2 linked regions of the Macaca fascicularis genome follow. Each later gene encodes a partner of the first gene's protein in a complex. Links are inferred from orthologs where the notes say so. Each region holds a gene or a part of one and is shown on either strand. Other genes may lie near its edges.

The links. The genes of interacting proteins can lie anywhere in the genome.
Region 2: RNF113A (region 1) and SCNM1 share a complex: the UniProt entries of both Homo sapiens proteins name them as parts of the minor spliceosome. The link is inferred for Macaca fascicularis from reciprocal best matches to the Homo sapiens genes RNF113A and SCNM1.

What each region holds. Positions count from the first base shown.
Region 1 is NC_088395.1:126,232,323-126,237,195, reverse strand, and holds RNF113A (E3 ubiquitin-protein ligase RNF113A), read left to right. Parts: upstream 1-2,514; 5' UTR 2,515-2,620; coding exon 2,621-3,655; 3' UTR 3,656-3,712; downstream 3,713-4,873. Other genes in the region: NDUFA1 (NADH dehydrogenase [ubiquinone] 1 alpha subcomplex subunit 1), read right to left, coding at 848-937, 2,221-2,322. UniProt on the Homo sapiens protein: Required for pre-mRNA splicing as component of the spliceosome. As a component of the minor spliceosome, involved in the splicing of U12-type introns in pre-mRNAs. E3 ubiquitin-protein ligase that catalyzes the transfer of ubiquitin onto target proteins.
Region 2 is NC_088375.1:110,052,227-110,058,162, forward strand, and holds the start of SCNM1 (sodium channel modifier 1), read right to left. Parts: upstream 3,564-5,936; 5' UTR 3,555-3,563; coding exon 3,504-3,554; exon of another isoform or gene 3,455-3,503; intron 3,230-3,454; coding exon 3,159-3,229; intron 2,803-3,158; coding exon 2,714-2,802; intron 2,617-2,713; coding exon 2,519-2,616; intron 2,412-2,518; coding exon 2,323-2,411; intron 1,308-2,322; exon of another isoform or gene 1,289-1,307; coding exon 1,094-1,288; intron 167-1,093; coding exon 67-166; 3' UTR 1-66. Other genes in the region: LYSMD1 (lysM and putative peptidoglycan-binding domain-containing protein 1), read left to right, coding at 4,448-4,627. UniProt on the Homo sapiens protein: As a component of the minor spliceosome, involved in the splicing of U12-type introns in pre-mRNAs. Plays a role in the regulation of primary cilia length and Hedgehog signaling.

The DNA of each region.
Region 1 (4,873 bases):
CGATCCTACCACACTGCAGCCTCGAACCCCTGGGCTCAGGCTATCCTCCTGCCTCAGCCTTCTGAGTAGCTAGGACTACTAAATTGTTCTATAAATGGGTAATTGCGATAACTAGCTACCTCTTGAAAAAAAGTAAAGTTAATCCTCCCTTCACATTATACTCCAAAATGACCTGTAGATGGGACCAAATAACTAATTTTTTTTAAAGAAACAATATTAGGAGAAATTATTTTTTAAAACTAATTTTATGAGCCAGGTATAGTGGCACACCTGTAGTCCCAGCTCCTCTGAAGGCTGAGGCAAGATCACTTGAGCCTATGAGTTTGAGGCCAGCCAGGGCAACACAGCAAGACTGTCTCTATTTTATTTTTTGAACGTATTTTTATAACCTTAGGTAGAAAAGGCCTTTGTATGGGAGACATAAAAACTCAGAATGCAGAGCAACAAAACATGATAAATTGAATATCAAAATTTAAAACTACCTGATGAAAAACATCATAAAGTGAAAAAGACAAACAGCAGACTGGGAAAAATGTTTGTCATATATAAAATAGACAAAAAATTAAAAGTCTAGAATATATAAAGAACTATAGATTGAAAAGAAAAAAGACAAAACAATAGAACAGGCAAAGGATATAGGCAACAATCCACAGAATAAGAAATATATGACAGTAAGAAAAACTAAAAAAAATAAGAAACATAAAAGATTAAATATGTAAAAAGATGCCAACCTCACTAGTAGACAAGAAAATGCTAGTTATATATTAGCATTGTATGACCCTTGGCAAGGCATTACCAGAACCCACCTCAACCCTGGCAGAAGGCTGGCATCAGAGTGGCTTCTTACCTTTGACACATAGTGACGATTAACTCCAGAGATGCGCCTATCTCTTTCCATCAGATTCCAGTGATACCCAAAATGAGCAATCCTTTTTTCCTTCAAATAAGAGACAATTATTGTTGCAGTTTATAAAAGTGAGTGACCCAGTTGATGGATATTACAATTTTTAGAAGGGACATTCTAGAGAAATGGAATCATCATTCAAATAAAAATGCAAATTAGTAGTACAAGAACAGAATCTCCTAAATAAAATCAGACCACTACACTTTAGGATTAAGTTGGTGACCGTGACTTCTTACACTATTTTAACCAACATGAATTTTTTTTCCTTTTTAAAAAAAAGAAAAAAAAAAGAAATATCTAGTTGTTGCCTTTTGGGACACTAAGAAACAACAGCTGTAGATCACACGTGGACAATCACAAATTCAAAAAGTAAGTAAATTTATACTCTGTACTCTAGAGATGATGTGAAGGGCTAAGAGGGGAAAATGAATCCTGATGTAAAACACAAGACCTTGCAGTAAATTCCTAAACGCTTGCAAGAGAAAGTGGGGAATAAAAAAGTCAAGGGTGGCCGGGAGCGGCGGCTCACGCCTGTAATCCCAGCACTTTGGGAGGTCAAGGCGGGTGGATCACCTGAGGTCAGAAGTTCGAGACCAGCCTCGCCAACATGATGAAACCCCCGTCTCTACCAAAATAAATAAATAAATAGCCGGGCGTGGTCCCGGCTACTCAGGAGGGTGAGGCAGGAAAAATTTTTTTTTTTTTTTTTGAGACGGAGTTTCGCCCTTGTTGCCCAGGCTGGAGTGCAGTGTCGCGATCTCGGCTCACTGCAACCTCCGCCTCCTGGGTTCAAGCGATTCTCCTGCCTCAGCCTCCCGAGTAGCTGGGATTACAGGCATGCGCCACCACGCCCCACTAATTTTGTATTTTTAGTAGAGATGGGGTTTCCCCATGTTGGTCAGGCTGGTATCGAACTCCCGACCTCAGGTGATCCGCCCGCCTCGGTCTCCCAAAGTGCTGGGATTACAGGCGTGAGCCACCGCGCTCAGCCAGGAGAATCTCTTGAACCCGGAAGGCGGAGGTTGCAGTGAGGGATTCTCAGGCTTGAGCCACCTCTTCTAATCTACCTTTCCGGCCCCCGCGTCGCTACTCTGCCCTAAGGCCCACTTTGATACACCCAGAAACGCTGTTTTTCACCAGAGCAGGATGTGGTTTCTACCGCGCTTCGTTTCGCAAGCCTCGGCTTCTAGGCAACCGGAAGAAAGTAGAGGGCCGGCCTCGGAGAGAGGGTCCGCAGGCTGACGGCCTCTCTGCCCACCATCCTTTTCAGAAATCAGCCAGTGGAGTCAGCCCCCGGGCCCAGGAAGCCGCCTTACCTTGCCCCCGTTAGTGAACCTCTGGATGTACGCAGTAGCCAGTCCTGGAATAAGCAAGCACACGCCCATGGCGGCGAGTCCGGGGAGAATCTCGAACCACATCTCTGCCCCGTTATCTAGGCCAAAACCCTACTTCTGGGTCCTTGAAAGGTGACCGGGCTTCGGCTCCCTTCCCAGTAAGCCCCGCGGCCGCCCGCGAGCGGGGCGGTGCCACGTACGGCTCCGGAGGAAGCGACGGGATCTGCCAGGGCTCAAGAGAGGCTGGCGCTCGCGCTCTCGCAGTTCTCTTCCGTCAGTGTCTTTTGCTTCGACTCCCGGCGGAGCGCGCGACGTGGAGTAACGCGCAGAGGCCAAGTGCAACCCAGGCAGCGACGGCCGTTTCGGAGCTCGGGACTCTAAAATGGCAGAGCAGTTTTCTCCAGGGAAGACGGCGGATCAGGTGTGCACCTTCCTTTTCAAAAAGCCTGGGCGGAAAGGGGCTGCTGGACGCAGAAAGCGCCCGGCCTGCGACCCAGAGCCCGGAGACAGCGGCAGCAGTAGCGACGAAGGCTGCACTGTGGTTCGACCGGAAAAGAAGCGGGCGACTCACAATCCAATGATACAGAAGACTCGTGACAGTGGTAAACAGAAGGCAGCTTACGGCGACTTGAGCAGCGAGGAGGAGGAGGAAAATGAGCCCGAGAGTCTCGGCGTGGTTTATAAATCCACCCGCTCGGCGAAACCCGTGGGACCAGAGGATATGGGGGCGACAGCTGTCTATGAGCTGGACACAGAGAAAGAGCGCGATGCACAAGCCATCTTTGAGCGCAGCCAGAAGATCCAGGAGGAGCTGAGGGGCAAGGAGGATGACAAGATCTATCGGGGAATCAACAATTATCAGAAATACATGAAGCCCAAGGATACGTCTATGGGCAATGCCTCTTCCGGGATGGTGAGGAAGGGCCCCATCCGAGCGCCCGAGCATCTACGTGCCACCGTGCGCTGGGATTACCAGCCCGACATCTGTAAGGACTACAAAGAGACTGGCTTCTGCGGCTTCGGAGACAGCTGCAAATTCCTCCATGACCGTTCAGATTACAAGCATGGGTGGCAGATCGAACGTGAGCTTGATGAGGGTCGCTATGGTGTCTATGAGGATGAAAACTATGAAGTGGGAAGCGATGATGAGGAAATACCATTCAAGTGTTTCATCTGTCGCCAGAGCTTCCAAAACCCAGTTGTCACCAAGTGCAGGCATTATTTCTGCGAGAGCTGTGCACTGCAGCATTTCCGCACCACCCCGCGCTGTTATGTCTGTGACCAGCAGACCAATGGCGTCTTCAATCCAGCGAAAGAATTGATTGCTAAACTAGAGAAGCATCGAGCTACAGGAGAGGGTGGTGGTGCTTCCGACTTGCCAGAAGACCCCGATGAGGATCCAATTCCCGTTACTTAGCTGTCTGATAATTCTTAAATTTAAATAATAAATATTTTGTTCTTTTGGAAGTCTTAATTCGTGTCCTTCCTTTGTAGAGACAGTGACAGAGAAGGCGGGTGGTGAAGTAGGGTCCTGGATTAAAAACCTCAAGGTAGGTATAATCAGGATTTTTAGCCCTAGGATAACCATTTTGCCTGTGTTTCTTTTCAGAACACTTTGGCATCAATTATAGGGGTGGGAGTAGTTTGAGAAAAGAGCTATAATTTGCTTGAAGTAGCCAAAGCTATGACGAAAGTAAGAACTCTGAGCCTGTTTATCATATCACATTTCTGTATCACTTAATAGTTTACAAAGTACTTTCATGCATTCTTTCTCTTGGGAGCCTGTACTACAAAATATACCGGAGCCAAGGTGTTGGGGAGAGGGGTTGCGTTTGGGGAATTGGTAGCTAGTACCACAGGCTTCACATATGGGAAATGTTCCTTGCTGTCTGGGTTATTTATTTATTTATTTATTTATGAGACGGAGTCTCGCTCTGTTGTCCAGGCTGGAGTGCAATGGCGCGATCTCAGCTCACTGCAACCTCCGCCTCCCGGGTTCAAGCGATTCCCCTGCCTCAGCCTCCCGCGTAGCTGAGACTACAGGCGCTTGCCACCACGCCCAGCTAACTTTTTGTATTTTTAGTAGAGACGGGGTTTCACCATATTAGCCAGGATGGTCTTCATCGCCTGAACTCGTGATCCGCCCACCTCGGCATCCGCCCACCTAGGCCTCCCAAAGTGCTGGGATCACAGGCGTGAGCCACCGCACCCGGCTCCCTTGCTGTCTTGGAAGCAGCTATAGTTAACCCCCTCTTCCATGGATGATAAAAGTATCTGTGCTCAGCTATCCAAGTGTGATAGACACTAGCCTCATGTGACTGTTGAGTACTTGAAATGTGGCTGACCACTGTATTGGACATTGCTATTGTAGACTGAACTTGTGAACCTGCAAAGGGCAAAAACATAGTATTTTATCATCCATTACCTGAAACTATCTGTGTTCTCACAGTCTCTGTAATAGTGTTGATCACACCTTATTAAAATTAGTGGATGTACCTGTCTTTCCAACTGGTTTATGAACTCGGTGACTAGCCTAGTGCTTGGCATATAATAAGCACTTAATAAATAAGCCTGGAGAGGTTTAAAAAGGGAGATTGGGGCCAAAGCCTTGAATCCAAGCTGAGGAGCACTGACT
Region 2 (5,936 bases), on another chromosome or scaffold:
GACTTAAGGAAAGTTAAGTTCTCAGCACCCATTGCAGTGTATTTGTGAATGAATGGGAAAAGGGTGTCAGTCCAAGGGGAGATCAGGTGGTTCCTCCTCATCAGAGTCAAACTCAACATTTTCATCTTTTACCCATCGACCTCGTCCATCTGGGATCCATCCTGAGCTGGAAACATCAGAGAAAATAGCATCGATTAGGAAAGAGGCTTATTAAGAAGTTAGTGGTGAGCTCACACCTGTAATCCCAGCACTTTGGGAGGCCAAGGTGGGTGGATCACTTGAGGTCAGGAGTTCAAGACCAGCATGACCAACATGGTGAAACCCTGTCTCTACCAAAAAAAAAAAGTTAGTGGTGAGAAAAAATTGAGAGCCATGTAAGTTGGGTGGATAAAACAAAACGAAACCAAAGATAAAAAACAACAATAGGAGGCCGGGTATGGTGGCTCACGCCTGTAATCCTAGCACTTTGGGAGGCCAAGGCAGGTGGATCACCTGAGGTCGGGAGTTCAAGATCAGCCTGATCAACACGGAGAAACCCCGTCTCTACTAAAAATATAAAATTAGCTGGGCATGCCTATAATCCCAGCTACTTGGGAGGCTGAGGCAAGAGAATCGCTTGAACCCCGGAGGCGGAGGTTGTGGTGAGCCAAGATTGTGTCATTGCACTCCAGCCTGGGGAACACACAAAACTCTGTCTCAAAAAAAAAAAAAAAAAAAATTGGGGGGCGGGCACGGTGGCTCACGCCTGTAATCCCAGCACTTTGGGAGGCCGAGGTGGGTGGATCACAAGGTCAGGAGATTGAGACCATCCTCACCAACGTAGTGAAACCCCGCCTCTACTAAAATACAAAAAATAAGCCAGGCATGGTGGCACATGCTTGTAATCCCAGCTACTCGAGAGGTTGAGGCAGGGGAATCGCTTGAACCTGGGAGGCGGAGGTTGCAGTGAGCTGAGATGAGATCACACCACTGCACTCCAGCCTGGTGACAGAGCGAGACTCCGTCTCAAAAAAAAAAAAAAAAAAAAAAAGCTTTGAAACAAGAAGGGTCAGAGAGAAAAGAAAATCTGAGGAAACTGATTAGGCACACTCACCTTCGAAGGGTGAGATAATGGTCCAGGGCTCGTCTTCTTGTGGGGCTCATGGGTGCAGGGGCTGAGACAGTTGCTGACTCCTCAGCCTGTGGGCCAGCCCCAGGTTCAGGTTCCCTACTGATCTTCCCGCTTTGGAGTTCGACCTCTGAGGGTGGCACAGGAGAAAGGGAGACAGAGGGACCAGGGGCTTCTGGTCTAGGTAGAGAAGAATAGTCTGTAAAAGCAGTAAGGGAAAGGGCCAACTCTCCTATGACTCCCAACCTCTTAAAACAGTGTTTCTTAAACTATATTTTTCAAGATATTAGTAAGTTCTGCATACAAAGGATTTTAGAATCATGAATTTGGGAAAGGCTAGCTTTAAATTTTACAAGTTTTTTTTTTAATTCTTAAGACTTTGTATAGCTTTTAAAACTGTTACTCTTTTTTTTTTTTTTTTTTTTTCTGAGATGGAGTCTTGCTCTGTCACCCAGGCTGGGGTGCAGTGGCCAGATCTCAGCTCACTGCAAGCTCCGCCTCCCGGGTTTACGCCATTCTCCTGCCTCAGCCTCCCGAGTAGCTGGGATACAGGCGCCCGCCACCTCACCCGGCTAGTTTTTTGTATTTTTTAGTAGAGACGGGGTTTCACCGTGTTAGCCAGGATGGTCTCGATCTTCTGACCTCGCGATCCACCCGTCTCGGCCTCCCAAAGTGCTGGGATTACAGGCTTGAGCCACTGCGCCCGGCCTAAAACTGTTACTCTTCAAGTAGAATTACAAAGTGCCATTTCCCAAACTTTATTTAAAAATCACAAAATTCTCCTTTTCTTTTTCTTTTGAGATGGAGTCTCACTCTGTCACCTAGGCTGGAGTGAAGTGGTATGATCCTGGCTCACAGCAACCTCTGCCTCCCGGATTCAAGCAATTCTTCCACCTCAGCCTCTTGAGTGGCTGGGATTACAGGCACACACCACACACCCAGCTAATTTTTTATATTTTTGGTAGAGACGGGGTTTCACCATGTTGGCCAGGCTGGTCTTGAACTCCTGATCTCAAGTGATCCACCGCCTAAGCCTCCAAAAGTGCTGGGATTACCGGTGTGAGCCACCGTGCCCGGCCAAAATTCTCCTTTTCTTGAAACACTAAGTAACATCTCCAGAACGCTAGTATTCCTCAGAATACAGACTGGAAAACACTTTCAGAGCCCTCTATCTCCTTCCGAGCCTTCCTACCTCTGGCTTTCCCCTCCCATACCTGTACTTCCGGCGGCAGCAACTGTTATAGTGGGGAGCTCTGTGCAGAGCACTCTGGGTGATAAGTCGTGTCTGGGTTAGCAGAGGAGCCTGGTAAGAAGATGGGAGACAGAGTCAGAGCCTTCAGCCCTCTGCCCTTCCAGCCTGGTGTGTGCAGCAGGGTCTTGCCTAGAACACACTCTCCACTCTCTGATTACCTCAGCTTTGGTTTCTTCCCTCCTCAATTCATTCTGATGTCTTGGATTCTGCTTCCTTTCCTTTCCCGGCTGCTTCTTGCCATAGAAAAGCTGCAAGCCTGAAGAGAAAGGGAAACAGAATTAAAAGCATAGCACCAAGGCTGGTGTGCAGAGATTTCGATTTATTCCCCATCCCCTGTCTTCCCCCGAACTTACTGGACAGATGTTTCTTGCCTGCACGGTGGGCAGTCAGCATGGCCAGGGTGTCCAGTACCGGTCGATGGGGGCAGATGGCACAAGCAAAGCTGAGCAGGGGTAGAGAAGAGGATAACTGGTCCAGGGGAAGAGGGTTGGGCCTGTCCCTGCCGTAAGTCCCACCCTGTCCTAGCAGTCTTTGCAAAACCCAACTCCCTGGTGACCCAATCTCCACTTCTTCCAGTCCTCACTAGCCGCCAAAGAATCCTAGATACTTCTGCTGTCCTAATTAATAACAAAAGTTTGTTGAAGCCGGGCGTGGTGGCGTGCGCCTGTAATCCCAGCTAATCGCGACGCTGAGGAGGCAGGATCACTTGAGCCCTAGAGTTCAAGGACAGCCTGGGCAACACAGCTATTGAGCCTCTAACCGCAAAACCCTCAGGCTTGAGCCACTCCTCGCTCTTACCGTCCATCCCGAAGCATCAGCGCCTCATCCTCTGGGATGTAACTGGCGAGGAGGTCCCCGACTCTTCTTTTCTGCAGGGAGTAGGGGAAGAAATCCGGACGGATCAGCAGGATAGGAGAGAGGGATGGAAGTTAAATGACAGAAATGAGGAGTCAAACGGAATAAGGACATAAGGACCCTGGGGAGAACAGCGATCATAGACCGAAAAAGGAGTCACTACACAGCTCTAAGTCGCCTGGTTCTCTCCTGCACCCCCGAGTTGTTGCCAGAGCAATGAAACAACGCTCCTTCCCAACCTTCAGAGAGCGACTGAAGAGGCTGCAGATCCTCTCCGCTCACGCTTACTTTGAGCACATTGAGTTGACTCCAATCGTCTCCTTCCCTCTTGAAAGACATCACGACTGTGAGTCCCAGAGTGATAAATTTTCTTGTTCCGGTTTCGCCACTCCTCTAGGCCACCGTAGCAAGAGCGGGACAGCGCCTTCTCTTTTCTCTTTGTCTTCCTGTCGGCCCCCGTACTTCCGGGAATGCACTTCCACGCATGCATTGCGCCATCCGGATATCCACTCTCTGGCGCGTGGAGGGAACTGCATTTCCTATGGTGCCGTGCGACTCTGCAGACGCGACGCCTTTTGGGAAATGAAGTCTTTTCCTCAAAGACCTTGCCGCTCAGCTGGATCCAGGCCCTTGCATCTTGGTGGATCTGAGGCGTTTAGAGGGACAAGAACCTAGATGTGGAGCCGAAATTTGAGGGTGTGACCTATCTGATGCGGAGCGGACCTGTGAGGATCTCTGAGTGGAAGGTGTACTACAAATTCTCGCAATCCTCACGCTCTTCGTCTGCGGCGACAGTTCACCTGGGGTGGGCCTGATTTGTTCCTGGCTCTAGCAAACAAACCCCGGGACCGGGCAGAGCTGGGATGTGGGAGCGCCCTGAGGCCAGGCTACTTGGGGGCAAACTGAGGAAAGAGTGTTGAGGATTATTTCTAGAGTTCAAAGGTCAGAGGTCAATGTAGCGAGGAGTTGTGGGGGAGTTCAAAGTCGGAGGGGTGCTTAGGGGCGAATCAGGGAGGGACTGAATACTCAAGGGACAGATTTGTGGATAAGGAGTTGGAGGGAGGAGAAACCGGGAGGGGGCAGGTGGCGTAGTGCTGGGGAGGCGGGGACACAGGGGAAGAGAGAAGGGGAAAGGAATCCCCTGAATATCTATTCCCAGACTTCAGGCCTGTCACTCGCAGTCTCGGTCGGGCCTCCCCTAGTTGCAACCTAGCTGTCGGCAGGGTGAAGAGATGGCTTCCCCGTCTAGACAGCCCCCGCCAGGGGGGTCAGGACTGCTTCACGGGAGCCGGGCTCGTTCATATGGAAGCCTGGTGCAATCGGCCTGCTCCCCAGTGAGGGAAAGACGCCTGGAGCATCAGTTGGAGCCCGGAGACACCCTGGCTGGACTAGCACTCAAATATGGGGTGACGGTGAGTTTTCCAGGATTGGGGTGCAGACAAGAGTCAGGAGGGATTTAGTCCTGAGAAGAATGTAGTGGACCTTCTAGGTAACCTCCCCTGAAATGTTCCTAATGTGTTGAACTCTGTTCTGCCTTTATCTTTGTTTTCCCATCACAGTGTTGCACTGCGTGGTTGGGACAAGTTCTGCTCTACTATTCCAATGGAGAGGAACAGCTCCTATTTTATCATGCCAGACACTGTGCTAGGGGCTTCACATACGTTAGCTCATTTCACCCTCACGTCCATATCAAGTATACATTTATTGTTCCCTTTTGGCAGATGAAGAAACTGAGACTTGGATTGGTTAACCATTTTGACTAAGGTCAAATAATGATTGTCAGATATGGGATTCAAACAGGTCTGTCTGACTCTGTAAACCACACAGAAAATTTTACATTGAGAGTGATTAAACGTTTACAGCAAATAATGGAGAGCTTATTTTTAGTTCTCAGTTCCTAAAGTGCCTACCTCTCCTTGCTCTTGGTTCCTCCTCAGTGCTCTGCCTTCTTTCTAGTAAGGCGGCTTCCCTGGCACAAAACAGGTACTCTACACCAAGTATTTCAGGTCATGCATGGGGGAAATTGGATAGATGTAAAAATGTATAGCATTGAAGTTGATGAGGTTACTCCCCCTACCCCCACCCCTGTTTTCTTGTTCCATCTCACTCAAGCAAATGTTGAATTTAGCCAACATTTTTATGCTTTAGCCAACATTTAAAGCACTGTGATAACTTTTCTGGGAGACAGAAACTTAAACTATATGGTTGCTGTCCTCATGTAATTTATGGCCTAATGAGAAATAAACAGGTACACAAATAATGATTACAAATGACAGAACGTGGTGAATTTGTAAAGGTATTAACAAAGAATCAGGGCCAGGCATGGTGGCTCACCCCTGTAATCCTAGCATTATTGGGAGGCTGAGGCAAGTGGATCACCTAAGGTTATGAGTACGAGACCAGTCTGGCTAACGTGGCAAAACACTGTCTCAACTAAAAATACAAAAATTAGCCGGGCGTGGTGGTGCTCGCCTGAAATCCCAGCTACTCAGGAGGCTGAGGCAGAAGAATTGCTTGAAGCTGGGAGGTGAAGGTTGTGATGAGCTGAGATCGCACCACTGCACTCCAGCACTCCAGCCTGGGCAACAGAGCGAGACTCTGTCTCAAAATAAAAAAACGGATAGGAAATCAGAAAGATTAAATTTTAGTTGGAAAGGGGCTGGGGTGGGCCAGGCGTGGTGGCTCATGCCTGTGCTGTAATCCCGGCACTTTGGGAGGCTG